Linked DNA regions of Notamacropus eugenii. The main gene of each other region encodes a partner of the protein of the gene in region 4 in a complex. Links are inferred from orthologs where the notes say so. Each region holds a gene or a part of one and is shown on either strand. Other genes may lie near its edges.

Region 1 (6,831 bases), on a different chromosome or scaffold from region 4:
ATGGTCATAAGGCTGCAATAATGATGAAGATTTATTTCAAGACATCTTAAAATAACAAGTAATATGCAGGGAAAATATGAGATTTGGAGAGGCTTGTATTCAAATCAGCTGTGCATCTATGTGACTGGCCATGGGTGAACTATTATAAGTTTTTCTTGAGCAAATTAGTATACATTCATTATACTATTACATCTAATTTAGGAAAAAGTAAGGATGAACAATGAACTATGTACAATACTAAAAACTGAAGATTCACCAAAAAAGAATGGAAAAATACTGGATGGAGAATCAGGAGATGTGAGTTCTAGTCCTAACTCTGTCATAACTCACTCTGTTAGTTGACCTTGGGCAAGTTACTAAACCTTGCTGAGTTTTAGTTTTCTCATCTGAAAAATGAGGGAACTGGATTAGAAGACTTCCAAAAATCATCCTGCAATTCTAATATTACACACAGATGCGCACATGCATGCATGTGTGCACACGCAGGCACACACATGCATACACACACACTCTTTAAAGTTGATCTCTAAAGGTGTCTTAACGTTAGTTTGCAGATAAAAGTTCAGTAAATCTATTGCATTAAATAAGCAACAGATTCAGTTAAAACAGTGCAGATTTTCACATTCACATATTACAGGAAACATTTTTAGATGAGATCACATGAAAATAAATGTGTCTTTCACAGTTACAGGACAAAATTTTAAGTTGGCCAGGCAACCAATGCCCTGATTTTCCACTTCTTTTCGCAGACCATATGACTTCCACATGCTGAGAGTGTTTTAGGCTGTAACCTGCAATGAAGATTTTACAATGTTCCAGCAATTCAATAACCAATGCTTAAAATGCAATAGTTAAAACTTCACTTGAATAAGCATGAATTACAAATCAACATTTCAACTCAAATATTGCACAGGGATAGGAAAGTTGGTGAGTTTTTTCCTAAAATATGTTGTTCTCATTTCAAAAGAAACATCAAAGAAGTAAATCAATAAATGTTAATTGAAAAACAGAGCAATGGGAAGTAGACAGGTTAAGAGATATTCCTTGATATTTATCTTTTCACTTTCATTTTTCTTTTGCTTTCTAAATAATTTAATTTCCACACATAAATTTCTATAGATACTTTCTATTGCACAGTTTTATAAGATCTTTTCCCTAAAGGGCTTTGTTTCATTTTCAAAATTATTCTAATGAACATTAATAAGATGTAAGCAAAAAATTTTAGAAAACTTAACATCTAACAACTGCAATGATGGTCTTGGAGGGGATCAAAATATTCAAGAATATAAAGTTCAGATTTAGAAAAAACATTAACTGTTTCTATATAGGTCAACCTAAATATACACTTGTTATCTCTCACATTTGCAGTTACCAGCCTGTTTATTAGTGTGAATGACCCATTCCAGAAAGTCTGAATTTCGTATCAAAGATCACAGTAGCTATGGGAATTCAGGTTTTCGTTGCTTCCAAGATCCCACGATGACAGCATAACAATGAGTATCAAGAACCAGTACATTTGGGATAAATGCATATGAACACCTTAATTTTCTTAACACCTGAAAAAATTATAGCAACTCCATTCAAGAGTCCCTCTCACAGGAAAACGAGCAAACGTTCCAGAAAAAAACTTCACTTGGGGAATGGAACGAAGTGTTCAACACTCGATTTCCATCACTTAATGCCACCTTAAAAACGGTCAGAAACGCTAATGTGATTGAAGCTACAATTTTTAAAAATGTTATTGTAGTATATATTATAATATATACTAGTAAAATGTATACTATGTTATAATAGTAATCAAACTTTTAAAAAGTAGCTAAAATAATTTTTCCAGAGTTTTGATGCATATACATAATTCAAATGGTTGAAATAACTAGGCTTTAAAAAATAGGAATTAAGAAATTTAATGCAGGAAACCGCAATGCTAAACTGATAATTACCTCTGACAGAGCTGGCAGAAAAAATGATGCAGATTATTCCCCTCTAATGATTCGGGGAATAGCAAAGCCAAACAATATACAACCATATCGGGGGGAAAAAGAACAAATAAAAAGGCACAGAAGGTATTCTCAACACCCAGGAAACGTCAGCAGCCCCATAAGCAGATGGAAGAAGAAAGGAAAGAAGATAAGCTAAAAAGACAGACCCAAGGGAGGGCAACGTTGTGGGCACCTGAAGGACCCCGGCAGAAACTGGCTAGTCACCTCCCTGGCCAGACACTTCTGGACTTTTAACCCCCGGTGTAAACCAACCATACAATCTGTTTCTAAGTCAACTTTATTGGACACAGAATCTCTCCTTGAAAAACCAAAAGCATTCTTCCCTGCTCTCCCACATCCCGATCTCCAGCCACAGCGGAGGAGGAACAGGGTGGGGTAGAGGGAACAGGGAGCAGCATCTGTAACTTGCCCCCAAGCATTACCTCCCGCTGGATGTCCTACTACCAGCCCGAGTCCGACACCACAGGACCGGCAGTCGGGAAGCCGGGATTCTGAACTGTTCACACTAAGCCCCCTCCCACCTTGACAACGACCCCTCCTCGCACATTCTTTAAAAAAACACAATATTTACAAACAATAACACCCAAACCACCCTCAAGTAATTAAAAGCCGTTTTCACCTCGAGAGGAGGCACCCCAACCTACGGTTCGGGGGGGACGGCGGACGCCTTTCGGAGGAGCCCCGACGGTGTCACCGGAACACGGTTCCGGAAGAGAAGACGCGGGGCACTTTTTCGTTTCCCACCTCGGCAGCGCCCTAGTCCCCGGTCGCCCCCCGAGCCCGCGGCCAGCCCCTCGGTGGGGCAGGCGCGGGGAGCGCGGCCGGAACCCGCTCGGCAGCCCAGGCCCCGCTCTGTCCCCCGGTCCCTGTGCGCGCCTCCACCTCGCCGGGCGCCGGCCTCCTCCGCCCCGGGGCACCCCTCGCGCCCCCCCACCCCCAAAGTTAAGGACGCTTGAGAAAACCAAACGCACGCGCGCGCACCGACACCCCTCGAATCACCGCCTCACATTTTCTCAAACTCCAGCAGAGACCCTCACCCCGCGAGCTCCCCCATCTTCCGCCCGCAGGCAAAGGCGGCAGAGTTAGAGGGGACGGGAGTGGAGGCAGCCGGTGCCTTTGAGTTACCCGCCCTCCCCGAAAAAATAACCCTGCCCCACCCCGGACTCCGGTCACCTACCCAGACGCCCCTTTCAGACACCTCGTCGCCGCTGCCACCCCCCCAAACCCCCACCCTCGAGACCTCCAGGAAAGTGCGGAGGGGGAGAGGCTCGGGGTATCCGGCTGGAGAAAATCGCTCCACTCACCTCAGGAGCCCGGCTGAGTTCTCTCTCCGCCTCGCGGGCAACCCCCTCCCCAACGTCCCAAGAAGAAGGGCTGAGGTAGGGGGGGAGGGGTGTCTTCCGCACGGGGTCCCCGGCGGGAGGGGGACTGGGGAAGGGGGTGGAGGCCGACGTGGGAGGAGGGGAAGGGGGAGGGGAGGCCCCTATCTCCCAGTCTCCCCCTGAAAATCTCCCTTGTCTCAATCACATCAGACTGACTGTCTTTGTCTGGCTGACAACCGCCATATTGATATCAACAGCCCCGCTCCCACCTGCTGCCGCCGGGCGGCCCTGGGAGTTGTAGTTCCCTGATCCCTGGGGTAAAAGCACCAGCCGCAGCACCAAGCGGCCCCTGGGAACTACAGCTCCCGGCAAAGCCCGCGCCCTTCCTCTTCCCCATAGGGAGGAGGGAAAGGCAGACTCAGCACCAACCGGGACTACAGGTCCCACAATACCGCGGGCATTGGGTCCGGTGAGGGGACATGATATCATCTTGGGGTGTGGAAAGGTTAAAAGAAGAGGCGATGGGGATAAATCGTAGCCGACAGAGGGAGGAGTTCTGAAAGGAAGGGGAGGAAAAGGAAGAAGAATGACCACAGTTCCCATCATGAAGCCGCGGACATACTACAGTTCCCGTGATGCTCTGGGAGCCAGAGGGAGCAGGCAGAGGGAGTAGGAGTGAGGAAAAAGACTCGCTATTCCGTCATGCTCTAGGACGTTTGGCGGCAGCGGTTTAGCCGGAAGTCTCTTTTAGGGATTGAAGGAGTCCAGCCGTACACATTTAACAGCGAACATTTCAATATGAAGCTGGTGAGTGTTCCCTCGCGGGTCAGAGGGCGAGGGTGATGCTAGAATTTGGAAACTCGACGGCCTCTTATGTGGAAAGGAAACGAGGGGAGGAGGGGGGAATTGGTGGTGCAGAAAAGCATGCTGGGAGGAGGGTAGTTGGTGTGGGAGAGGGTGGCGGTCTGCAGCCTTCGCGTGCCCGTGGGACTTAACTCTTAAGCCCATTTCACGGACCGCTGGGGTTTGGCCCCGGGCCTGTGCCAAGGCCTTCACCACGCCCCGTCTAACAAGCATGTACCTTTTTCATTGTGCTGCCTGTAATGCGTTGAAAAGAGCCCTGATTTGGGGATCATAGCAACCTGAGTTCAAACTCCCCCCACTCATCTTTCTAACTTTGGGACAAGTAATTTGCTGGACTTGGGTTTCTCTTTTATAAAACAAAAGAAATGAACTGGATTGGAAGTACTTACCTTCTTGTGGCATGGACCCTTTGGCACATAGGAGACCCGCCATAAATGCTTATTGACCCCACTTGACTTGGCACTCAGGTGAAGCCTCTTATTTTTTTTCAGAATAATTTTTAAATACATTAAAATCCACAGGATTAAAAAACAGTTATAAAGCTATGGTTATCTAGATATTTTAAAAATCAAATTCATGGAACCTAGGGTAAGAATTGTTGGACTAACTCGTGTCAGGGATCCCTCCTAGATCTTCCATGAGTGTCCTAGCCATCACATTGAGGAGGTACCTGTTACCAGTCAGTCCGTCTGTTGTTTAGGGATTGCTGTGTGTGCAGCACTGAGCTACGTTGTGGAAGGTTAAAAAAAAAGTCCCTGCATTCCAGGAGCTCATAATTTTGTTAAAGAGTCAGGATAAAGATACATAAAACAGGGCATTGGTGCCAGGCAAAGGAAAGATCCACACAACAGAGAAGAAAGAGGGTGGACGTTGAACTAATAGGAGTTAGGCCAAATGTAACAAGCAAGTGGGCTGTGCTTTCCTTACTAGAGGAACAGCATTAGCAATGACCTGACAATTAGAAAGAGCATCCAGCCCCTTCCAACAAGAATTTATTATTAATCATTCACCTTGTACAAGGTCAGAGGCAGAATGACAGTAGATAGAAAGCTAGTTTCGGATCCAGGAAGCCCTGGGTTCAAGTCGTGCCCAGACACATGCAGTAGGTTGTGCCACTCAGAGCAAGTTGCTTAACCCTAGGCAACTCTTGACCAGGCCTGGAGTCGGGAACGCTAGTTGTATGACCTGGGCAAGTCAATTAATCCTGTTTACCTCAGTTTCCTTATCTGTAAAGTGAGCCGGAGAAAGAAATGGCAAACCACTCGAGTATCTTTGTCAAGAAAACTCCAAAAAGGAGTCATGAAAAGTTGGACGTGACTGGAAACAACTAGTCAACAAAAAATGTACAAGTCACCATGTAAGGTGCCAGAGACACAAAAGACAAAATAAAAATGTCCTTGCCCTCAGAGAACTTACACTCTACTGAGAGTTGTAACTGGAACATAACTATTAGAGGAGGAAGAAAATACTGACAACTAATGGAATTAAGCATGGCTTTTAAAGGAATTAGGAGAACAAATCACTGGAATAGAAAGTCCTACATCAGAAGTGAATGTTTTAAAGTCAGAGCAATTTTTATATACACACATATATATTTTGTTGTTTGTTTGTTTCAGTTGGGTCTGACTCTTCGTTTACCTATTTGGGGTTTTCTTGTCAGAGATAACTGGGGTTTTTTCTTTCTGCAGCTCATTTTACAAATGAGGAACTAAGACAAAGAAACAGTGTTGAGTGACTTGCCCAGGGTCACAAAGCTAATATGTGTCCAAGGCCATAGAACTCAGAAAGATGAGTCTTCCTGACTCCTGGCCCAGCACTCTATCCACTGTGCCACCTAGCTCTGTGTGTTTGTTGGGAACATGGGGGAGTTGTACATACACACATAGGTATTTATACATTCACACAGTAGTAATAGTTGACAGTATTAAGGAGATTATTTCTTGCACTGGTGTACCTGGGATTGGTTTGGAATTTTATCCCATAAAGCATGTGCTGAGGTACCCAGGTTGATTCTTGCAGCCCAAATGAGGCTCATGGTTGAAGGATTTGGGCATCTTAGAATGAAGAAACAGTCCCTTTGTTGGTTCCTTGATCCCATGATGGCAGCAGAGAGTGTCTGAATAAAGCATACAGATCATTCATCCAGGAAAGTGGTCCACCCAGGAAAAGAACTTTAAAAAAGTGACTGCCCTCTGGCTCTCTCTTCCCATCTGCCAAATATGAGACTTCTTTGAATTGTTCCCTGGAGGAGTGAGAGAAAGGCAGCTCATCTTCTCCCCCGCCCCAGCAGCATCATGTCTTTGAATATAGGGCAGCTAAAATACATAAATTGACTTAAGCTAGGCCTCTTGCTATCTCTTGTATTTTGTATTCCTTCTGTGAGCATAGGTGACCAAGCATCAAGCCTGAGATGGATGTGTCCAGCCTTGGAGGCAACCTTTTGTGTTAGAGATTTGATGCTCTTAGGTCCCTCAGGTAGAGCTGATTGGCAATAGTAGGATGTTCTTTACCTACATCCTTCTTTGAGAGGACCACAGATGGAGGAAGAATCTCTAAGCGTTGATGATGCAGAACACCATGACTTAAAGAGATTTGATTAGACAATGGAGAGCCAAAGTTAAAGTATAATGCTAGTCCAACAACTC
Region 2 (7,920 bases), on a different chromosome or scaffold from region 4:
CCTTTTGCATTTAATGTCTCCAAAGCTTAGCACAGTGCCTGGCATGTGGCAGGCCTTTAATAAATGTTTACTTAACTACTGACTAATGTGCTACCTCGTCCTTTTCTCTCATTCTCAAATCTCTACTGCATGGCTTCCAGAAAGCTTCATCATTCCACTGAAACTCCTCTCTCCAAAGTTATTAATGATCTGTCAATTGTCAAATTCAATGGCCTTTTTTCAATCCTTACCCTTCTCAACCTCTCTGTAGCCTTTGGATACTATTGATCACTCTTTTTTCCTTAACACTCACTTTTCTCTTGGTTCTAGTGACATAACTCTCCTGGTTGAGAGAAATGATTATCAATAACCAATGATTTGAGGAGATCCAGAGTTCTCCCCCTTTTCCAAAGTCCTGATTTTAAAAGATCAGACTAATCATGAAAGATTACTAATGAGCTAGGATTCAGAAACCACCCAGGTGGGAAAGCCACAGTGCCCTATTCAGGTCTGAGTAGGGATAAAATCTTTGAATAGATTGCCCAAGGATAGAACTAACCTAGAAGTAAAAGTCATAATCAAAGTTCAGGTCCAGCCCCTCATTGCACTATTCGTTCTCTCATTTTTAGTCAATCAGACTTGATTGCCACCCTGATCTCACCCCTCTTCCAATGGGCAGAGAAGCAGTGAGCCTGCCCCATGATTATCTCTGGTCTAAAAGAGAGACAGCCAAATTTAATTAAAATTAAGATATTATTAATAAAATTATCAAATTATCCAGAAAATTATGTCTCTTGAACCTTTTTAAAGACCACATGGTTCCCTTACCAATCTGTTCCTTTTCAGTATCCTTTGCTGGATTTCCATCCAAGCCATACATATCCACTAACTGTGGGGGGTTCCCCTAAGGTTTTGTCCTAGACAGAACATATCTCCCCCATACTGCTTTACATAGTGATCTCTTCAGTTCCTATGGATTCAGTTCCTATGTCTACACCAACTATCTTCAAATCCACTTATCCAGCCCTCACTCTCTCTCAGCCTAGCCCCCATATTCAATTTATTGCTTATCTTTTCCCACCTTACAACATTTCTAGAGTAGGCCCCTTCTCTTCTCTAACATGAAAACTACTTTGGTGCTGGGCCCTCATCACCTGGACTATTGCAATATCTTTTTGCTTGGTCTCCCTACCTCAAGTCTCTCCTCCAATCCATCCTTCACTCTTCTATCAAAGCTGTCTTCTTGGCCCACATCCTCACCTATTCAATCAACACCAATGGCTCCCTCCAGGATCAAGTATAAAAACCTTTTCCAAGTTCTTATACCTTAATCCCTCCCTCCTAACTCTGCAATCCAGTGGCACCTGCTATTTATTCCTCACAAGGGACACTCCTTCACCAGCACATTTTCCATGGTTCTCTTTCTTTCCTCTGCTTCTCTCATCTTCTGCAGGAAACCTTCCTTTAGTGCCTTTCCTTAGACATTATTTCCAATTTATCTTGCAGATGCCTTGCTTACACACAGTTGTCTTCTCCCATTAAACTGTAAGGTCCTTAAACCCAGACAACTGGTCTTATTTTCTCCTCAGCCTTTCAGTGCCTGGTCTGAAGAAGGAAGCTGGAGTCAGATTCTGGAGGGCTTTAAGTGCCAAAAACAAAATTTTTTTCTTTACCCTTGAGAGCCACAGGAGTTTTTAGAAATATAGACGTAATTGTGCTGGTTCAAAGCGTATGCCCGGTTTTCCAGTCCTTTAGGCACAGTCCTAAATTACTCACAAGACTGGCTGGATCAGTTTACAATTCCACCAACAATGCATTAGTGTTCTAATTCTTCCATATGCTCTCCACATTTAACATTTTCCATTTTTGCCATATCAGCCAATCTGATAGGTGTGAGGTGACACCTCAGAGTTGTTTTAATTGGTATTTCTCCAATCAGTAGTGATTTGGAGCATTTTTTCATACGAGTACAGTTAGCTTTGATATCTTCATCTGAAAACTGCTTGTTCACATCCCTGGACAAACTTGTCAACTGGGGAACGACCTGTATTCTTGCAAATCTGACCAACTTCTTGCGCTGGGTAATAGAAACAGCTAAGGCGCTTTCAACGTTTAAAAATAAAAACCATTTGTTCTACTTTGCTCTCATAGGTGAGTCAAAAACAGTGACAAAAGCCCTTCCTCCGCGGTATTCGCTGCAAATGCGACAAACCCAAGTCCAGAAGGTCCATCAATCCAAGCTAGGGGGCGCAATGCAGAGGCGGTGGGCCAGGAGTCAGGGAGACCCGAGTTCAAATGCGACCCCAGCCGTGACCCCGGGGGAATCCTTTAACCTGTGGGTCGTTAGCCGCTTGGCCCAGAAAGGCCTGATGTGGTCCCTGGGAGTCGGAGACGACCCAACAATCAAATGCCGGGCTCAGAAGGCACGTACTTTTAACAGGCCCAAGATTTTTATAAACCAGTTCGACTTTGGGGAAGCTAAAGGTTTGACAGCAGGTGCGTGGCTGGCGCGTGAATCCAGGGCTCCACGCCCCCGGCCCCGAACGCTTTCCCCTTCCCCCTCCAAGCCCTCCAGCTTGAGGCTGCGGGCATTTCAAAGTTCACCTCCCACACCTCCCGCGACCCACGGAAAGCGTGGAACAAACCGTGCCAGCTTCCGAGAAAAAGGACTACCCCCACTGCCAAGGTTACCGCGCATGCGCCCCTAGCTCGTCTTCAGGCCTCGACCAGCTGGTGGCGCCATTTCTCCCCGTCCTTCCCCCCCTCCCATTTTGACGCGGACGGTTAGCTACCGTGATACCTTTATCCAGTTCCATGAGGGCTGAGTTCGCATCCAGTTCCTGTTCGCCATAGCCGGCGTCTGCCAAGAAAGATTTGCTCGAATTCGACGCCATGGCGCTCTAACAGTAATTAGACAAGCCTATTCAGGATTAGAAACTCCGCAGCAACGCAACCATCTCCCTCCAATTTGTTCTCGCGTGTTTTCTTCCCCCCTACCTCGGCTTTCTGCCAGCTAATACCGCGCATGCGGCCTAAGTGCTCCGCCGTTCAGCCTTTCGTCTTCACCCGGCGCAGGCGCAAACGGAGCCAATAGCCACTCGCCCTGGGGCTTCCTCAGTGGGAGGAGGGAGGGCGGGTGAGAAGGAGGCGGGGATCTCGAAGGAGGCGTGGCTTGCGTCTCAGCGATGGAACGGCAGGAGCCAATCAGGTGGCGTTTCGTCAGTTTGGCGCGGAGTTTGTTGGCTGGAGCCGGTGGTGGCGGGAGTTAGCCGGTATAAATGGGCTGGGGACGGGGGAGAGGGCGTGGGGGCTGTAGGTTTTGCACCGCCTGCGGGTTTCCTCTGCTCCCCGGCCTTTTCCCGCCGCCTCAGATGCTGTTCCATTCGCTCCTCCGCCAGCCCCGCCTGGGCGCGATTGGGAATGGTAAGTAACGGTTCTAACGGTCGCTGGCAGGTCGGCGTCCCCAGGTCTCGGGCTGCCTCGCTCTCCCCCTCCCCTCCGCTACCCGGGCGCTCAGCCCCCCTGATCGGAGCCCCGGGCTTTCGTTGCGGCCGGGGCGCCCCAGGGGATGGAGAGAGCTTGCGGTGACCCCTCCCCCCGCCCGCCGAGGCTGGATGGGAACTCGAGGACGGCTGGCGGCTTGGAGTGCGCTTCCGAAACCGCGGGTCCAGGGCTGTCTCTGCGGGATGAGGGAAGGGGTGATCCCTTGAGATCCCCCTTAAAAAGTCCGAGCCTTGGGCGACTCTGAAAGCGCTAGATTAGCGCTAACTTAGGTTCATGTTTCTCCTTTCCCGATCTAGTTTCCCAGACTCGGCTCAGATCCCACCCGCAGGGGCCTGCCCTAGTCCTCCCCCCCGCCCCCTCCCATCCTCCCTCCTCACCTCCCGTTTACCTACGACGTATCCTGTTTGAACAGGTTTTTTACATGTGGACCCTTAGAACACGCGCATCTCGAGGGGCCCAGATCCCACCAAAATCTCGATTCCGCCTTCCTGGAGGCCCTTGCTCTGGGGCGAGCTCGGTGCGTGCCCTGCGTGCTGATGGTTCCCCGTTACCCTGGGAGTGCTTTACACCCCCAGAGCGGCTCCGAGGAGGAGCTGAGTGAATCCAAACCTGGGGACTTGGGGCAGGCACCGAGTGTTTGCCTCTTCTTTGTATCCCCCGGACTGAGCCCCGTGTCTGGTACCAAATAAATGGTTAAATTGTTGTGGATTGTCCGGGAGGGTTGCGAGCTCAAGGACGCCTCGGTCCTTATCTTCCTGCAAGATTCCTCCCCCATCTCTCCTCCATTTAACTCTGACTCCTAGGCCTAGAAACCAATTCTTATCTTATCTCTTCCTGTTCAGCTCTCCCCCTTCGAATTCCCTGATTCCCTTATTATACTTGTGCGTATCCGTGGTGTACCCCTCCTACCATTATATTACAAATATCTTAGGGGCTGAGACCCCTTTCATTTTTTTTCACCTTTGTATTTCCAGTACAATTCCTTGCAAGTACAAAGTGTCCCAAACCTCTTAGTGCTTAAAAAACTGCATTTTTGAAACATCTTATATTAGGCTCTTAATAAATGTCTGTTGTACTGAGAGATCTATTTAGAATTAAAACCTCTCTAGTATTCAGATTGACTTTGTTTGGGGCAGACATTCTTACAGATGAACCAAATGCACAACTTAGAAACAGCAAAACAGTTTTTTAAAGCACATTAATCAAGAATATGGAATACTTGCTAATCAAGCAAATGTTAATTTTATGGCACTAAGTACTGCAGGTGCCTGTTTTGATGGATGTACAAAGAAGTACAGGTCACTTGAAAATTATTTGTGTTTCAAAAGTTCTTTGTAAATTGGTCGAGTTCACACATTTCCCCACGGAAACAATATTGTAAATTGTGGTTAGATTTCTTACCTGTTTAATCCACAATGAAGATGAAATAGTACCAGACGGTATTATATTCTGATTAGAGAACCTAATAACCATTATATGGCATTGTTTCTGTGGGAAACGAGAAGGAAAGGATTGTGATAGCATTATTTGAGTGCTTTTCACCTCTCTTCCACCATAGTGAAATAGAGCAGCTTGGCAAGTAGTAAGAAAGGAATAATATGCCTTAGAGAATTCTTCCAAAGAAAGTCTGTCCCTGGCGCAATAGTATGAATTGACCATTTTTATGTATAAGGGATTTGTGTATCAGAGAATTCTGGTTTAAGACATGGGTTCTTGGATCTCTATTCATCTACAAAATATTCAGTTATCACTTACATTTTAAAATTAAACTCTCACCTTTCCCCCAAACTTAGTGTCCAATCTGGAATTTCTTCCCTTTCCCACATAGTCTCCTCTTTCACTATTCCTAATCTTTTGGAATACAAACTTCTTTGAGAGCAGTCTCTCTGCTTTTGATTCTGTATCCCCAGGACAGCACAGTGCTTTGTTATGGGGTCCCCTGAACTTGTCTTTTTGAGTTGCCATATTTTCCAGAAACACTAGACCCAGAGCATGCAGGAGGCCAGCCCTGCATGTGTTTGGGACAAAGCTGCCCCGCAGCTGACATAATTTGTTGTTTGCACCCGGACCTGGATTACTGTGTGTCCTTGGGAGACAAGACAGGCACCAGACAATCTGTGCCAATCTGGGAAAATATTTGTGCAGCTGGGGTCCTTTGCAGATAAGCAGGACTCCTCCTATCAAAAGATTGGGGGGGAATCATAGCCTCACCTGCATTTGAGGGGCCTTGAATAAAAGTAAAGGGTTACCTAACTTCAGAGGGGCACTGAATAATTTTTCTTTTTGGAAAAGGGGGCAATAGGCTAAATAAGTTTGGGAACTTATGGTTTAGTGGTTTCCAAGGTAAAAGAATTTGGCTTTTGCCATCACCTTGTTCCTCCCCTTCAGGAGGAGCTTTACTGCACCTTTCCCCTCCCATGTCATACCTTTTAGGTGGAAATATATGTTTTTTCCTCCTCCTTTTGTTGTACTGTCATAAATATGCAAACTTCTGTAAGGACTGTGAACTCTTTGGGTTCCACATGCTTGTTCGTTTCTCTTGTAAAATAAAACTGGTTTTCACATAAGTCTCATGAGGTGATTGTTGACCCCTTGGAATAAAGTACATGTTTTTCATTCATCTAATCAGATTTCAAATCCTATTGATTATTCCTTCCTAATATATCTCATATCTGCTTCTTTCTTTCCATTCAGATTGCCACCATTCATGTCGAAGCCCACTTTATCTCATATCAGAACTACTGAAATAGTAATCTACCTGCTCTGTCTCTAGTCTACCACTCATCTTTAGCAAATTAATCTCCCTAAACATTGCCTTGCTTATGTCATTCTTCTGTCCCCTCTGTTCAGAAATCTTAAAAAGACTTCCATTGCCTATGCTATTCTTTAGCTATTATTCAAAGCCCTGTTCAACCACTCCCTTTACACACACCTATTTAAAATGGTTAAAACATAGATTGTTGATATCATTTGTTTTTAGCTTATCTATATTTCCCGGTATTTCCTCCTTTCTGGAGAGCTATCCTTTATAACTATTATGAAAAGTGGCAAAATTAGTCAGCATTTGAAAAAAGTCTGATTTTATAGGTAGTATTCCACATCAATAGTTCTTTACCTTTGCAAGGAAGGCAGGGGAAGTACACACACATCTAACTTTATATAGAGAACTTCTCTAAGGAATCTGTGTAATCAGCCCAACCTGTTCTTTTCATGTTGTCCACATTCCTGCCTCTCTGCCTTTGCAGAAAGATTAGAAGATTGTTACAAAATAAGTTAGAAGATTGGGTACATCCTCCATGTACTTACTGGAAAATATATTATCCATAATAAGGCTAGGGGAGGAGTGAGAGGGATGTGTTTTACATTTATGGAGAGTCATCATGGATCCAAAAAAGAGCCAAGTATTAGATCAGAGGTGGGCAATCTGTGGCCTTGAGGCCACATGTGACCCTCTAGGTCTCCAAGGGCTGCCCTTTGCCTGAATGCAAACTTCACAGAACAGATCCCCATAATAAAAGGATTTGTTCTGTAAAAGTTGGACTCAGTCAAAAAGCTGCATCCAGGGACCCAGAAGACCACATGTGACCTGGAAGTCGCAGGTTCCCCACTCCTGTCTTAGGTCCTGACTTTCCTTTCAAAATCAATTTTAAGTTTCATCTCCTGTGTTTCCCAGTTTCTCCAATGAAAATGTTTTTAGTACACCTATACTGTTCATTTGCCATTGATTCTACGCTAAGAAAGGGTATTTGTTAAAGCCAAATCTGTTTGGCTTTAACAAACCTATATCTCCATATCTTTATGTGTAAGTGTAAGACATAATATATTTCTTGATACCCCTAACCTAATATATAATCAAAAAAAGTTTGTTAGATGATGCCCTTAGGGAGTTTATTTAGGAAATAAGACTACTGCCCACAACAAGTATAATAACAATAGTGTAAATAATAGTGTTTGTTGGTCAGTCTGAAAGTAGCAGTGGAATGGAGGATGTAATGGAGTTGGGAGAGACTTGAGGCAGGTAGGCTCAGTTGGCTATTGCAAAAGTCCAAGCATGAAGTGATGAGGGCCTGCACAATGTTGGTTACAGTGTCAGAGGAGAGAAGAAGGTATATTCCAGGGATGTTGCAAAATTGAAATTGATAGGCCTTAGCAACAGATTGGATTTGGGCAGTGAGAGAGCATGAGGAGTTGAGGATAACACCTACTTTGTGACCCTGAGGGCCAGGGAGAGTGGGGTTGCCTTGGACAGGTAGCACAGAGAGGGTGTAGAGGGAATGATAGTGAGTTTAATTGATTTTAAGTCTACTGAACATGCAGTTTGAGTTGTCTGAAAGGCAGTTGGAGAAGGGAAATAGGCAGTCAGAAGAGAGGTTAGGACAAGATGGGGAGATTTGAGAGTCATCAGCGTTATTGTTTGGTCGTGTGTGACTCTTCATG
Region 3 (7,946 bases), on a different chromosome or scaffold from region 4:
CACAGAGACATGATGTGAGCATGTGCTGCTGGAAAAATGACACAGATAGACCTGCTCAATTGCATGGTTGCCACAAACCTTCAGTTTGTAAAAAAAACCAAAAACCTGCAATATCTGTGAAATGCAGCATCTGGTAAGACCTTTACTTTCACACCATCATTTCCTCTGGTTCTCTCCTCCATCCAATGTACAATTTAGCCAAATGTCTCAAGCCAGTCTAACTTGGCAGGTTCTTCCCAAGGTTTATCACTCTTCTGACCCAGACTTTGAGAACCCAGAATGCCCCACAAAGAGGCATCTCAGGAGGAATTCAGGGGTAGTCTCCTTACCTTGTAATAATGTTCCAAGAGAATTCTGACAACTCCCTCCACACTCTCGGCCTCCACTGGTTTTCGAGCAAATTGAAGGAGATACTGCAAGGCATCTGCTGGGGAAGTGGCTTTGCAAAGATCTATGTGGAGTGCTGCTGACTTACTTGGTTTTGTCAGCCGGAGCTTCTTGGTTGCAATTTCTTCATGTTGTTGCTGCAATGGATTAAAGCAGATTACCTTGGTGAAGGAAAATAAGAAAATAAAAATCCCTCCAGTCAACTCTCTAAGACTAAATTACAGATGAGTTGCGAAGTTCTATGGATTCTGTGTTCTCTCCAGTGAGTAGCAGTGCAGGCACATCAGGAAGCATCACCCAATAAAGGCTTGTTAACTGATTGATTCCATGAGACTGACCTCCCCACCTCAGATGTTACACGGCGCTTTGTTTTACATTTCTCTAATAGACATATTTGGCAGCTAGGTGAAGAATATAGAGCTGCAGCCAAGAAGACCCAAGTTCACATCCTCACACACTTACTAGTAGTATGACCCTGGGTAAATCACTTAACTCTGTTTGCCTCAGTTTCTTCATCTGTAAAAATGAGCTAGAGAAGGAAATGGCAAACCATTCCAATATTTCTGCCAAGGAAATCTCAAATGGGTCACAGAGTTGGCACGACAAAAAAAAATACACTTAGGTACTGCTTAAAACTTAGAACACAACAAGTAAGTGGAATCATTCTTAACTTCTCCCTTTCTTTCACCCTGACATTATCCATTCAGCTGACAAACCTCTACCTCCACATCTCTACCATTTGTCCTGCTTTCTCTACTCACACAACTTGTTCATAGACCTTCATATGCTCTGGTCTATACTACTGTTGTTGTGTTTGTCCTTTGTTCTCGAAGAAGACCATGGCATCAAGATGATGACATGACTTGCAGTTGACTTTGATTTGAGTGAGGGAGGGCTGTGCAAGGTCACCAGCCTCACTTTCTCCTCCAGAGCCATCTGAATCCAGTGACCAGATATTCATCAGGATGACTGGAGATGGCCCAGGATGTAATGTGGAACCCTGGCCCTTTCAGGCTAAGGTCACACTCTCACTTTGAGTGAGATACACCTATTCAATGAACAGCTTCTTTAAGTTACTCAAGGTATGATCAAAATGATCTGTAATCAAAAAAAAAAAAAAGGTAAATCTTCTAAACTGGTCTTCCTACATTCAAACTCTGTTCTCCAAATTCATATCCCAAACAACTGCCAAATTCATATTCCTAAAGCAGTCTTTAGGATATCTTGTTGGTACATAGTTTTTAAACTTCATCTCTCTGAATAGACTATGAACTCTTTAACGGAATGGGCAGATTTTACCTCTGTTGTATTCTCGTCCAGCTCACTCACCCATTTTTAACCTCATGCTTTCATTCAAGAAGCTTCGGTGGCTCCTTATTCCTTCCTGGATACAATACAAACACCTCTACTTGGCATTTAAAGGCCTTAACAATTTGGCAGTACCCTACCTTTAAGGCTGATTATATGTGATACACCCTGTTCCACTTCCTCTCCCTATTTTTCCACGGCTTGTCCCCCTAGGCCTGGGAAGCTCTAGAGTTCCTCACTTGGACACTTCTACACCTGCCATCCAGAGCCACTTTCTACAGTGGCTTCCTCTAGACCACAACCTGGGAGATGTAACTTTTTATTCATTTTAGATACTTTGTATCCACAATTCTGCCTACTGTTCTTTTCCACCCAATACCACAAAACTTCCCTTAGTATCTGCCTGAGCTACAAGCTGCTTCTAGAACTACCTGGCTGTGCAGCCCATTGCAGAGATGAGCTGGCCGAGCCCCAAAGAGTAGTTTGTGTGACTTCCACATTCCTCCGCTACAGAGGGAGGGATGGGACCTGGGTTCCCGTTATCTCCTAGGACTGAGCTATCTCGGGAGGAGCACGTTTGGTGATCACACAAATAGGCTGGGCCCAGCACAAAAGCCAAAAGGTAAAGTTAGGCTGGAAGGAGCTTGAACTTCCCAACAGAGCTCTGGGGGCTGGGCTGGGCGGCCTCTCAAGTCCCCCCCAACTCAGCTGACCCTCACTGCTTACAGCCCTAGCAAGAACGCTACGAGATGACTGTGCCCATTGTACAGAGGAGGAAACTGAGGTCTGGAGAACAAGGGATCGGCGAGACCGATGCGGAACTAGGAGCCGGCCGGGCCTCGAGAGGAGCCCTCGGAGGTGGCGCCCCGGGACCCACGGTCCTGCTCCCCAGCTGCTGCCGCAGTCCGCCAGGCCGAGGGCCGTTTACCTGCACGACTTTGGTGAACTCTTCATACACCCGCTTCTTTAGATGCGCGGCCATGGCGGCGGCTGGGGCAAACAGCACCTCCAGCGCCGCCTTTCTCTTCCGGGCCGGCCCTTCCCGGCCGCCGTAGCCTCGACCGGGCCTCCCCCCACCCCCCCCCCCCCGCAGCCGTGGAGAGTCCCGCTGAGCGCGGGAGGGGAAGGGAAGTGGAGGTCGGAGCTAGGACTGGGACTCCAGTATCCCACAATGCAGCGGGGAAGGAGGAGTGGCGTGGATAATGTGAGCTTCCCTTCCCCCTCAAGGCGCTCGATCTCCCGCGCCCGCCCCCGCCCCCACTCCCCCTGCAACAGATGAGCCTCGTGCGACTTCGGGAATGAAAACAAGAGGAGGAAAGAGACAGGAGAAGAGGTGGAGAGGTAGCAGGGAGAGGGGGCGGGGCTTGGGTGGGCAGGTAGCCAGTGAACGAGGGCGGCCGGCCGCGGCGCGTGGTAATTGGGTGGAGCTCGTGGAGGGGCGGAACTGAAGGTGGAGCGAGCGGAAAAACGCGGAGCCGGGTTTGTCCCTGGAGCAGGAGAGAAGTGTGGTTGAGTGAGGGAGGCGCTGGGTGGGGGCTGGGCCCGGGGTGACTGAGGAGAGGATGCCCACTAACTAGGGCAGAGTTTTTGTGAAGGGGAAGGACGGGGAGAGCTATGGGCGAATGTATGAAAAGAAAGAATGTCTGGGGGAGAGGGGGAGGGGAAGCTTGTGTGAGGGGGGAGTGAGGGATGGTAGAAAGTGGGGGGGTGGGAAGGGGCGTGTAGGGAGGCGGGAGGAGGAGAGAAGGGGGAGGGAGTGAGGGATGAAAGGGAGTAGGGGATGCGGGGGATGGGAGGGTAGGCAGAGGATGGGGTGAAGATGGGGGCTGGGAGGAAAGAAGGAGGGAATGTGAAGGGAAGAAATGGAGGAAAGGAGAAAGAAGAGAGAAGAGGAGGATACGAGTGTAGATGGTGGGAGATAAAAAGAGTGAGTGTGGTGGAGAGAAAGCGTGGGGGATATCTGATGGGAAAGTGGGGGACAGGAGAGAAAAAGACCTATGTGAAGAGTAGGGAGGAAGGGTGAGGGGATAGGGATTTGTACGGGGAGGTTGTTGTTGTGTTTGTCCTTCGTTCTGAAGAGGACCTGTGACATCAAGATGATGACATGACTTCCAGTTGACTTTCATTTGACTAAGGGAGGGCTGTACAAGGTCACCAACCTCATTTTCTCCTCTAGAGCCATATGGATCCAATGACCAGATTCATCAGAATGACTGGCAACAGCTCAGGATGCAATGAGAGACCTTGGCGTCTTTTAAGCCAGGGGACATGGTAGAAGAAAGGATATGTTAGGCGTCAAGGCATAGAGAAAAAGGGAGTGAATGTGGGGTTATGGTAAGAGGGAGTGGGAGTATGTGTGAAGGAAATGGGGGTGAGGGGTCTGTGAGTTGGAAGGGGAGTTGGGGAGGATCTGTGTGAGGGGAAAGAGACTCAGATGACTCCAAAGGAGAGAAAGAGGCTGTTGACTTTGCACAGCCCTCCTTCACTTCAGTCACTTTACTTGCAAGTGGCAGCATCACCTATTATCTTCTCCATGCCACGAGGACAGAGGACAAACAGAACAACTACAAGCTCTGGCAGGGGTTTGTAGGAGTGACCTATCAATGAATGTTATTCTTTGAGAACCCAAATTGGCCCCATCACTGGCAGTGGGGTGCCCACATGATGAGATCAGTCTTTTCTGGTCAGAAGAGAGACAGAAAGAAAGGAATCTAGTTAGATGCTATGACAAGAGAGAAGGAAGAGGACGCTAACTTAGAGTGATAGCAAGAGACTGTAGTGCAGCTTGGCATGGTAGTAAAAACACTAGTTTAGGGTTCAAATGCCACCTCTGATGCTTATTACTAGTATAACCTTAGCCAAGTCTCTTGATTTCAGTAGTCTTAATTTCTTCATCTGTAAAATGAGGGAGTGGGATTATATGACTTCTGAAATCCCTTCCAGCTCTAGATTTATTAATTTGCTAGCATTTCAAAGTAGCAGGAGTTCAGTGTTGCAGGAATTTAAAGAAGAGAGAGAGATTAACAAGACTTAAAAGGTCATGAATCTAGAGCTGGAAAGTACATCAGAGACCGTCCAGTCCAACTGCCTTATTTTACAGATGAAGAAACAGAATGTAGTGGTTACATGACTTGACTAAGATAAAAAAAGATAGTAATTTCAGATTTGAATTCAGACTTGACTCTAAGGTTTTGAGTTGGTGTGAATGAGAGATTTTAAAATGCCATTAAAAGAGAAAAACCAAGAGGGTCAATAGGTTGGGAGAAGGTTGTGAATTCAGGATATGTTAAGTTGAAAGGGGATTTGGAGCTTTGAGCGGAGGGAAGAAAAAGTCTTGGGAGTCATCTGCATAGAAGCAGTGGTTGAAGCTGTGAGAATATATGCATGTGCTTTCTGAAGAAATGTACTGAGAGAAGAAAAGGGGTGTAATGATTGAATTTTAGTGATTCAATTAGGGAGCAAGAGAAAATGGTAGAGAAGGATGAGAGAATAGGCCAAAGACATATGGAAGCCAAGAATTTCAAGGAGGAGAATCCTTGCCATCCTTATCCCATAAGACATCTGGAAAAGCAATAAGAGAGCAGTTAGGCAGTAGGCCAATGTGTCTAGCCTTGAGAATGTCATGGGGAATAAAGTCCCTGATTGTCTCTTATTCATAAGAATTCCCAACAGCTGTGCTAATTCTCTTAAGCTTCCCACTTTGTAATCAGAACTTTAGCAGGTAATTGTATGAAAAATGAAACTTGCATTTTAACTGTTACCTAGGACTGTTATTAACAATCTGTTCTAATTCATAGAATCCTATATAAACTGCTTCCATTTAGACTGACTTGTGAAAGACTGGGGTTAGAAAAAGTTCAATTTACATCAGAACTAAACTTTCAAAATATATTTAAAGGAACGCTGTTGGTGTGAGTTAACAAGGATCGAGGGTCCTCATGATCCTCCTAATGAAGAGCAATAGAAATATCAGAAAGAAACCTGGAACTGACCAAAAAGGCAACAAATTCTAATATTAATTTTTTTTTAAATTACTGAAAGAAGGGGGAAATGCCAGAAAGAAGGCACCCTGAGACAGTGTCAGAAGTTACATCTAAAACAACACAAAGAATCTTTGGAGATGCGCTGACACAGATCAAAGGCACATACAAGGAATTAAAGAAGAATCAAACTTAGAAAAAAGAGTCCTAGAGGAAATAAAAGAAGAAATGAATGCAGCTAAGAAATCCCAGGAGAACATAACAAGCAAACAAAGCCAGATAAAACTAGAAAATAGCTTAGAGGACTTGAAAATTTCACTGGATATAGCTAAAAGCAGAATTAATGCAGTGGAGCAAAGAGCAGCAAGATAATGCAATTGAAGGAGAAAAGCCAATTCAAAAAATAATTCACCTTGTGAACTGATCCATTCTGGAGAGCAATTTGGAACTATGCCCAAAGGGCTATAAAACTGTGCATACCCTTTGATCCAGCAATACCACTGCTAGGTCTGTATCTCAAAGAGATCCCCCAAAAGGAAAAAGGACCTGTTTGTGCAAGAATATTTATAGCAGTTTATAGCAGATAGAAACCTAGGGGGTGCCCCTCAATTGGGGAATAGCTAAACAAGCTGTGGTATGATTGTAAAGGACTATTATTGCACTATAAGAAATGACAAGCAGGGTGATTTCAGAAAAACCTGGAAATACTTACATTAACTGATGCATGTTGAAGTGAACAGAATCAGGAGAACGTTGTACACAGCAACAGCAATATTGTTCAATGAAGAACTGTGAATGACTTAGCTATTCTCAGCAGTACAATGATCTAAGACAGTTCCAAAGGACTAATGATAAAACATGCTTTCTGCATCCAGGGAAAGAACTGATATTGACTGAATACAGACTAAAGCATGCTATTTTTCACTTTATTTTTCCCTTTTATTCAAGTCTTACAGAATGACTAATATGGAAATGTTTTACACAATTGCACATGTATAACCTGTATCTTATTGCTTACCATCTAAGGGAGGGAGAAGGGGAGGGAAAGAATTTGGAACTCAAAACTTTAAATAAAAATGTTGAAGATAAAAATAATAACACATTTGTGAAAAATATGTAAGCATTGCAGAATAATGTTATAGATTGAGAGAACTGATTAAGGAAAGGGAACCTCAGAATTATTAGCATCCCAAAACACATTGAAAAGCAAAATTATCGGGTTGCCTATCAAAAAAGTTCCCTAGAACTATTTATAATGGTACTATTAAAATGGAAAATATGAGGAATATAAAGATATTCAAAATACAGCATTGTGAAGAAAGTAGATGTAGAACAGCAACACATATTTTGACTACTTTCTTCAAGGATCCATGCTTTCATTGGTGAATGTATAATGTATACTCTTCATTGACACCTGTCACCACAAGACCCTCTATGCCGTAATAGAAAGTTTCATGATTTGCTGTGACTAAAAAATTCATTACTTTGTGATCAACCTCCTAATTGATGAACCTTTCTGAACTTAGCTAGGCTGATCCTTGAATAATAAATGTAGTCAATTTCCAGACCCATATTAAAGCTTTTCCAGAACTCGTACTTCCTAGCATATCCTCAAGAACTCAGGGTGACCATACCATGAGGAGATGACAATCACTACAAAACTTCAAAGATAGAAAAGGACTCGGACTTATTGTTGTCAGTTTGTTAAAATGTGTTCTTTAAAAAAATTAAATAGTTTTGATTACATGGCTTTCATTTAGTTTTAAATTTTTGTTTGCATTTGCTGAGATTGTTGAGTTTATAATTTTTAAAAGAAAAGAATACATATAGATAATTTAACACTGATTTTTAAACATGCAAAATTGATTTGCCATGCAGGGTCTTGTGCTTTCTAACAGTCGAATGAAGCTTATAGAGTAGGTAGGTGTCAAAAACAGCACGTTTCTCTACCCACCTTGATGATCCCTGGCAGGATTTTTCTCAGTAATTTGGACCCCCAAAGACCCCTACAAAGATATAGAAGGCCTCTCCACCCTACAGATGTCCGCACCTGTAAAGATTTTCTTTTTATAAATAAAAATGTGTTTATTCAAATAAATGTTTGTTTCTTTGAGGAAAAACTTGGTGTCATAAGGAACCATTTTAAGTCATGGGATATGACATCATCACTAAGCTAGGGTCCCAAATACCACTTCCCAAGAACCTGCTTGCCACATTTGTGTTGATCACTGGGGCACATCCTTTTTTCTAACAGTAGTTTCTTCATCTACC
Region 4 (7,633 bases):
GTACAGACCTCTGTTCTGCTCCTGGTATTTCTTCTGGAGTTGCTGGGCAGCAAACACCATATTGACTGTTCTACAGTCCTTTCTGAAGCCACACTGGCTCTCAGGTATATGACCATCCTTTAGGTGAAGGGTCAGCCTATTAAGGAGAACTCTAGCCAGAACTTTGCCAGCAATGACTAAGACAGAGATCCCCCTGTGATTGTCACAGGACTCTCTATTCACTTTACCCTTAAAGAGATGGACAATGGAGATATCCTTGAACTCCTGGGGGATAACCTCCTCTTGCCATATAATCTGGAAACTTTCAAACAGCTTTTGTATGATCAATGGGCCCCCTACCTTGTAAATCTCAGCTGGAATAGAATCAGCACCAGGTGCTTTGCCATATGAAAGGAAGGATTGACTTCAACCTGAGGTAAATGGTCAATGACCTCAGCATTGATTGATGATGGTTTACTGAGAACACTAAGGAAGTGCTCAGCCCATCTCTCTAGGATCATGTCCTTACCACTAATCAATGTGGCTCCATCAGCACTGAGTAGTTGTGATGCACCATAGGTTTTTGGTCCATAAATAGCTTTCAGGGAATCATAAAAGCACTTTGGATTGTTACTATCAGTATAAAACTGAATTTCATCTGCCTTCTTACTGAGCCAGGAATCCTGCATCTTTCTAAGCTTTGCTTGTACTTTGCTTTTGATGGAATTAAATGCTGCCTTTTTAGAGGTGGATGAACTATCCTGCTGGTAAATCCTGTGGAGTTCTCATTTTTCATTTAGCAGCTTCTTAATTTCCCCATCATTTTCATCAAAACAGTCTTGGTGTTTGCAAGTGTTCTGACTTAGATGAGCAAATGCAGTGCTGTACACCAAATCTCTAAAAGCTTCCCACTCCTTTTCTGCTCCACTATTGCCAACTGTGTGCTGGCTCAACTATCCCTCCAAGTCAGCAACAAACTATTTGCACCCAGAGAAGAGCTCTAATTTGTTGAGATTAACTCTTCTGGTGGTCATTTTGCCTTGGGGGTGGCACTTTTGAGGAATGAGAATATTTAGCTTGGAAAGAATATGTCTATGATCACTCCAGCACTCTGCACCGCACATTGCCTTTGTCACTCTCACATCTTGTCTGTCTTGTCTCCTTACAATCACATAGTCTATTAGATGCCAACGTTTGCTGTGATGGTGCATCCATGAAGTTTTATTGCATTTAGGTAAACAGAAAACAGTGTTGGTGATGAGAAGGTCATGCAGTGTACAAGTCTTCAGCAGTAAATGACCATTGCTGTTGCTGTTTCCAACTCCATTCCTCCCTAGGACTCCCTGCCAAGTCTGGTAGTCTGAGCCTACTCTAGCATTAAAGTTGTCTGGAATTATAAACTTGTCCTCTTTTGGCACACTGACGATAAAGGGTTTCCAGGTCTCCATAAAATTTTTCTTTGATTTCATCAAGGTTTGTCATGGTGGGAGCAGAGGCACTGATGATGGTGGCATGGCATTTTCCTGTGAATGGCAATTGCATTGTCATGAGTCTGTTATTCACTCCTTTTGGCAGGCATACCAGCTTTCTTACTAGCTTAGTTTTGATTGCAAAACCCATGCCAGCTTCATGGCACTCCCCTTCACTACTCCCACTCCAGAAAAAGGTGTATCCATGCCAGCTTCAGTAAGTTGATCTTCATTTGCCAACCTTGTTTCACTTAAGGCTGCTATTTGGATGCTACATCTGTTGAGTTCTCTTACAACAAGAGCAGTTCATCTTTCAGGTCTACTGGATTTTGTGTTGTCTGTTAGTATGCCAATGGTAAGTGGAATCATCTTTGCAGATGTTTTCATACATTTTGTACATTTTTTTGTGTTTCAACCACATATTGGGATTCCCTGCCTGCCATGGTAATCAGGCCAGGATTGAGTACGCAGACAATGTTTAGGGCATCTTTTCTGGCCCCCTTCCTCACACCAGGAGGTGAGCAGTGCGATCCTTAAAAGGCTGCTCAGACACCCAGAGGGCTGCTGAGTCCCACTGCTGCTTTCAATGAGAAACAACCCTAAGGCCTGAGCTGCCTGTGTGCAGGGTTGTGACTACAGCTCCCAGTGTAGCTGCACCTACTGCTTCATCACTTGCTTGTTGCTACAGGACTTTGAGGCATAATAGTAAAATGGTATGGGTGATGTCTTTTGATTTGTGCATAAATGGGATTTAAGTGAGCAGAGTTGCACAAAGTCGTCAGCCTCACTCTGTCCTCCAGCGTCATCATAGTCCAGTGGCAGGACAGAGTCGAGATGGCTGGTGATGGCTCAGGCTTCAGTGGATGACGTTGGCATCTTTGGTGTCTAACCATGCTCTAAGCACTCCACATTGCCTGCTTCATCTGCCTTCATGGCTGTTCGAACAAATTGTTCTCATACGCCCATTCCACCGGAGGAAGTCTTCACATGTTTGGGGTAGACACCCCCCTAACTCACTAATGGGTTTGAGAACCCTTGGTTACCCTCAATCTGGTTTGACTGGTAGGCCAAAATGGTTTACCAGGTTGTGGCCGCTGCACATGTTGCAGCTTCTTGGATCCACAGGTGAGAGTTAGATGGAACAGGTGGACACAAAAGGTGGAAGCCATCACACCAAAGGCACTGGTCCTCCCTGAACCACCCTACACCCCAACAATATACATACATATACACATACATATATATACATACACACACACACACACACATATATATATACGTATAAACGCATATACGTGTGTATATCTCCATATCCCCTTTTACCTTTCCAGTCTTCTTACTTCTTACTCCCCACCAGGTATTTTGCATTCTAGTTATACCGGCCTGCCGACTGTTTCACATCTCTCAGCTCTGGGCATTTTCTCTGGCTATTCCCCATGCCTGGAACATCCTCCCTCCTCTACTCTGATTATGGACCTTCCTGACTTCCTTTAAGTCCCAATGAAAAACTCTTCTACAGGAAGCCTTGCCCAACCCCTCTGAATCCCAGTGCTCATCCTCTTTTAATTACTTCCTATTTGTCCTGTATAGCTTGTTTTTGTTTATGTGGTCTCCCCTATTAGACTATCAGCTCCTTGAGGGTTGGACTGTTAGTGCTTTAGCACAGTGCCTGGAATACAGCAGGTACTTAATGTTTAATTGAATGAATGAACATCTGACCACTCCTTCTGAGTCTTCTTTGCTCTGTCTTCATGGAGGTCATGCTTCTAACCACAGGTGTCCCATAGAGCTCTGTCTGGGCCCTCTTCTCCTCTCTATATGGTGAATCTCATCAGCTCCCACGGTTCAATTACTCTCTCTCTGTTGATTTTTAAACCTACTTATCCATTCCTAACCTCTCCTCTGACTCACATCTCAACCAATCATAGGATAAGTTGAACTAGATGTCCTGCAGACATGGTACACCAGATACACCCCAAAATGAACTCATTATCTTTTCCCCAAAACATTCTAAACTTCCCTATTACTGTCACAGGTACCACCATCCTCTCAGTCACCAAGGTCAAAACCTAGGTGTTTTTCAGTCTCAGGGCAACCCCCCATATCCAACGTATTCATAAGCCTAACCCTACATGATGAAAACCCTAAGACTGAGAATATAATTATTGCATGGGAAAGATCTAAAGAAGGACAGCCCATTCCTAGGCACAGGGGGATAAGCAAAGGCCTGGGAGAGGAGGCCTCTGACACGGACATCACAAGGAGGATTTCAAGGCTGGCAGAATGGTTGGCCGAGTCGCTTGTCTGTGACACAGAGGCCATGAAGGAGACTTGCGTTAAGGAAGGACAGATTGTGGAAGGCCCTGCATGACAGGCTATTCATTCTAGAGGCAAAGGGAGGCCCTGAAGGTAAAGCTGAGCGGCGGGTTTAGGTAGCAGAATCCACTGAGATTAGAAAGGAATTTTTATTACGTATTTATAACAGGTAAATGTACATTTGTATATTCACTTATTCAACATGAATTTACACGAGGACAGAATGAGACGCCGCAGCATGAATGGGGGACGTTCTCGGTGGATCACCTCTTCTCCTTCGGAACCAGCGCGATTCCCCTTCACCCGGACCTTTCCGGCACCGCAGGCCCGCTTTGTGGGGGGGGTGAGTGATGACTGGTGAGGACGCCCCTCCTCACAAGGCAGATGCGCGCATGGAGAAGCTGGATCCGCGTGTCCGAGGCAGGATCCGAACCCAGGCCTTCCTGACTCCTGACGGAGGACGGGGGATCCCCTCAATCCCTCCCTGCACGTCCCTCGGCGGGGGGCAGAGGGGGGACGTTCTGGCTAAAGGCTGGCAAGAGAAAATCCACGGATGCCCACGTTCCCCCCTGATCCTTATCCCTCCCACGGCTGGAGAAGTCCCAGGGAGAATGAGGAAGGCTCCTAGACTGCTGGAGCGCTTGAAGGGAGGGGACAGAGCAAGGCTGCCACCGCCGCTTCGGGGCAGGAGAAGGGACTCCCCGGCTCTCCCCGGTCCGGAGCATGCGCGGTTGGGCACGGACCCCTCCTGGGGAAGGGGCGGGGCGGACCAGAGCGAGGCTGCAGTTCCGCCTCCCGGCCGCGTGACTTCGGGGAGGCGCTGTCGTCACGGCAGGCCCCGCGCTAGGCTCCGCCCCAATCCCATGCTCCTCCGAGCTATTTTGGTTCCGGGACGGCGCGGAACTCGAGGTGGGGGGAGAAAGAGAGGAGAGAAGAGAGAGAGGGAGAGAGAGAGAGAAAGAAAGAGAGAGACGGAGAGAGCGAGAGGAGGCAGATGAGTTTCCGGATCCGGCGCGGCGGTGGCGGCGGTGGCGGTGGTGGCGGCAAGACTGAGGGTCCGTGTTGTGGGCTGTAGGTGGGTGAGCTGGGTGCATTCGCCGGGACACCCCGCCGCCCGGGCTCGGACCTCGGGCTCCTTTCTCCGGCCGGAGACGTCACCCTCCCCGGGCCCCGCCCGGCTCCCTCTTCCTGAGACGACGTGCACCCCCCCCTTCCCATAATCCTCTTCGGGGGAGGCTCCCCTGACCTCAAGGCCCCCCCTCTGACCACCGCTCCTCCCTCCCCGCCCCCTTCCCCTCTGGCCCTCTGAGCCACCGTAGGGGCGTCGGGCCCCCTCCCCCCACCGTGGCCGCCTCCGCGCTCCGGCCCGCCTGACTCCCGCCCCTCTCTCCGCAGGCGACCCCGCGGCCCCCGGGAACGCCAAGCTGGGCAAGATGAACCGAGCCAAGCCGACCACGGTCCGCAGGCCCAGCGCCGTGGCCAAGCCTTCTGGTGAGCGCCGGCCGCTGCGCCCCGGGTCACCCCCCCGCAGTGCCCCCATCCGTGAAACGGGGGTGTCGGCGTTGAGAACTCCGGGGTGACAAGGCCCGGAGGGCTCTGTGCCTCGGTCTCCTCATTTGTAAAATAAGGGGTTGGGGCGTTCCCTTCAGCTTTAGATCTGAAATTCTGTGAGTTGAGGAGACTGAAATCCGGACCCAGCGGACCTGGGTTCGAGTCCGGTTCTGTCACTTTACCCCCTTGGGCCTCAGTTGTAGGACTCTTCAGGCCATTCTGTGTCTGCACAGAGGATTTCCCAGTCTTAGCGCAGTTTTAAACTTGTAAAGAGGAGAGCTGCATGAGAACCTTCGCCGGTGCCCTGTGTTACTGGGCGCGGAGCTGGGACCTCCGAGTCAGAAAAGACTTAGGTTGGAGTCTCTGCCAGTGATTTCAGTGGTCCTTCCTCCATGGGCAGTTCATCTAACCCTTCTTCCCCTCGGTTTCCTCCTCTGTAAAGTGGAGACGGTAATACCCCAGTATACATAATAGTATATATTTATGTAAGACGTATCTCGAGGCAGAAGGGAAGTGATGGAAAGTGCTTTGCAAACTTTAAAGCCCTACATACAGTTTCTGTTATTGTACACAAAGAAAAGAGTGAGAATATTTGCTGAGATAAATTTCTGGTTTTTTAATTCTGATTAACGTAGTGCTTGTAGTAAACTAGAATTCATTTAAAAGCCAAAGACAATTCTTAGAAAATGAGCCTCCAAAAGAAGTCGCCCAACCCCATAGATGCCCTCATGTCTTTTGTGCTGTGAAGCCTTGATCTCAGATTGCAGTTTAAGGAGAAATGGTATAGCTTTTACAGGAATGCGGGTTAATTTATAAGAGAGGCATGATATAGTGGAAGGAACGCTGGACAGTGGGTTAGGAGACATGGATTCTACTTCCAGCTCATTACCTGTATGACCTAATGGGTAAATTACTTCACCTCTTGGCCTTAGTATAAGATTAGATTCAGGGGCAGGAAACTGTGGCCTTCTAGGTCCTTGGGGTTTGACCTTTTGACTGAGTCCAAGTTTTACAGAACAAATCCTTTTATTAAGGGGATTTATTCTGTGAAGTTTGTATTTAATCAAAGGGCCCCACTTGACCTAGAGGGCCACAAGTGACTTTAAGGCCGGAGGTTCCCCACCTCTGGATTAGATGATCTCTACGGGGACCCTTCAGTTTTGGGATTCTGTGATTTCTCTCTTTTTTTCTCTTCTGTAGGGCACCCTCCACCAGGGGATTTCATTGCATTGGGCTCAAAAGGCCAAGCCAATGAGTCAAAAGCAACAGTAGCATTGCTGAAGCCAGCTCCCTCAGGTTTACCTTCTGAACGGAAGCGAGATGCTGCATCTGCGTTATCTGGAGCCTCAGCCCTGACTGGCCTCACAAAACGTCCCAAGCTTTCCTCTACTCCTCCACTCAGTGCCTTGGGGCGCCTGGCTGAGGCGGCTGTGGCAGAAAAACGAGCCATTTCCCCCTCTATCAAGGAACCATCTGTGGTACCAATTGAAGGTAAAGTAATTTTCTGTAGACTATTCCATGTAACAAGTCTTATGGGTAATCAGTTCAGCAAGTACTTAACTGAGTATCCACTGTGTACTTAACACTGTTTGAGTCACTGTGGGACTTGAGAAGTAGCTTGGTGCTTTGGAAAGAGCATTGGACCTGAAGTCAGAAGAGACCTGGATTATGAAATGGGGAGGATATGCTTTTTCACAGGGTTATTGTGAAACTCAAATCAGTGAACATATGTAAAGTACTTTGTAAACCTATATAAAGATTGGTTAAGTCTACAAAAACTCAGATGATATGTGCAAAGCACTATATTAGGGATACTGAGATAAAAACAAGCCAACAGCCCTTGCCCTTGAGGCCCTTTCTTATAATAGGGGATCCATCATGTAAACAGGTAAGTAAATATGAGGTAATTTGAGGGAGACAGAGCACCAACAACTGGGGAGATCAAGAAAGACTTTTATTAAGTAGGAGGTGACATCTGAGTTGAACTTTGAAAGGAAGCTAAGGATTCCTAGAACTGGTGGTTATCAAGGAGTGTGTTCCAGGTTGGAGGAAGGGGGGGGGGGGCAATGAGCATAAATGCAGGGGATGGCAAGCTGAATTCTGGAAGTGGATAGTGTCGAAAATTCTGGAAAGGTAAACTGGAAACATTGTGAGGCCCTTGGGAAAGTTGTTTAACCTTTGTAAGTCTAAGTTTTCTCCTCTGTAAAATGAGGGGAGGAAGTCAGTGCAGAGGGGGAGGTCAAATATGAGAGAGAGCAGTGGACCAGACAATAGTCCTGAGGAATAGGAACTGGACTCAGGAGCACAGGTGGAAGGTC

Evidence for each region.
Region 1: INTS1 (region 4) and INTS9 share a complex: the UniProt entries of both Homo sapiens proteins name them as parts of the integrator complex. The link is inferred for Notamacropus eugenii from reciprocal best matches to the Homo sapiens genes INTS1 and INTS9.
Region 2: the proteins of INTS1 (region 4) and INTS7 are in contact, whole or in part, in a cryo-EM structure (PDB 8RC4), measured with the Homo sapiens proteins. The link is inferred for Notamacropus eugenii from reciprocal best matches to the Homo sapiens genes INTS1 and INTS7. Residues at the interface, in NP_001073922.2 of Homo sapiens: Leu1378, Gln1381, Gln1382, Gly1385, Gln1386, Ala1389, His1429, Phe1430, Leu1431, Cys1433, Pro1434, Arg1437, Gln1438, Cys1440, Gln1441, Pro1476, Ala1479, Gln1480, Met1483, Leu1484, Gln1487, Arg1552, Pro1554, His1555, Leu1556, Glu1557, Glu1558, Pro1613, Ser1614, Gly1616; in NP_056249.1 of Homo sapiens: His150, Asp151, Leu187, Ala188, Thr189, Pro190, Val191, Lys194, Thr223, Ser224, Tyr225, Pro226, Ser227, Thr228, Asn262, Asp263, Pro264, Arg265, Lys266, Pro303, Tyr304, Gln349, Glu350, Cys352, Tyr353, His354, Asn355, Arg357, Ala360, Gln384.
Region 3: INTS1 (region 4) and INTS4 share a complex: the UniProt entries of both Homo sapiens proteins name them as parts of the integrator complex. The link is inferred for Notamacropus eugenii from reciprocal best matches to the Homo sapiens genes INTS1 and INTS4.

Annotation. Positions count from the first base shown.
Region 1 is NC_092872.1:608,467,109-608,473,939, reverse strand, and holds the start of INTS9 (integrator complex subunit 9), read left to right. Parts: upstream 1-3,827; 5' UTR 3,828-4,120; coding exon 4,121-4,129; intron 4,130-6,831. UniProt on the Homo sapiens protein: Component of the integrator complex, a multiprotein complex that terminates RNA polymerase II (Pol II) transcription in the promoter-proximal region of genes.
Region 2 is NC_092873.1:426,295,549-426,303,468, reverse strand, and holds the start of INTS7 (integrator complex subunit 7), read right to left. Parts: upstream 3,003-7,920; 5' UTR 2,874-3,002; coding exon 2,780-2,873; exon of another isoform or gene 2,772-2,779; intron 1-2,771. Other genes in the region: DTL (denticleless protein homolog), read left to right, coding at 3,258-3,402. UniProt on the Homo sapiens protein: Component of the integrator complex, a multiprotein complex that terminates RNA polymerase II (Pol II) transcription in the promoter-proximal region of genes.
Region 3 is NC_092876.1:125,486,401-125,494,346, reverse strand, and holds the start of INTS4 (integrator complex subunit 4), read right to left. Parts: upstream 3,004-7,946; 5' UTR 2,678-3,003; coding exon 2,624-2,677; intron 525-2,623; coding exon 330-524; intron 1-329. UniProt on the Homo sapiens protein: Component of the integrator complex, a multiprotein complex that terminates RNA polymerase II (Pol II) transcription in the promoter-proximal region of genes.
Region 4 is NC_092874.1:388,117,266-388,124,898, forward strand, and holds the start of INTS1 (integrator complex subunit 1), read left to right. Parts: upstream 1-4,633; 5' UTR 4,634-4,758; coding exon 4,759-4,819; exon of another isoform or gene 4,820-4,839; intron 4,840-5,159; coding exon 5,160-5,255; intron 5,256-6,515; coding exon 6,516-6,806; intron 6,807-7,633. UniProt on the Homo sapiens protein: Component of the integrator complex, a multiprotein complex that terminates RNA polymerase II (Pol II) transcription in the promoter-proximal region of genes.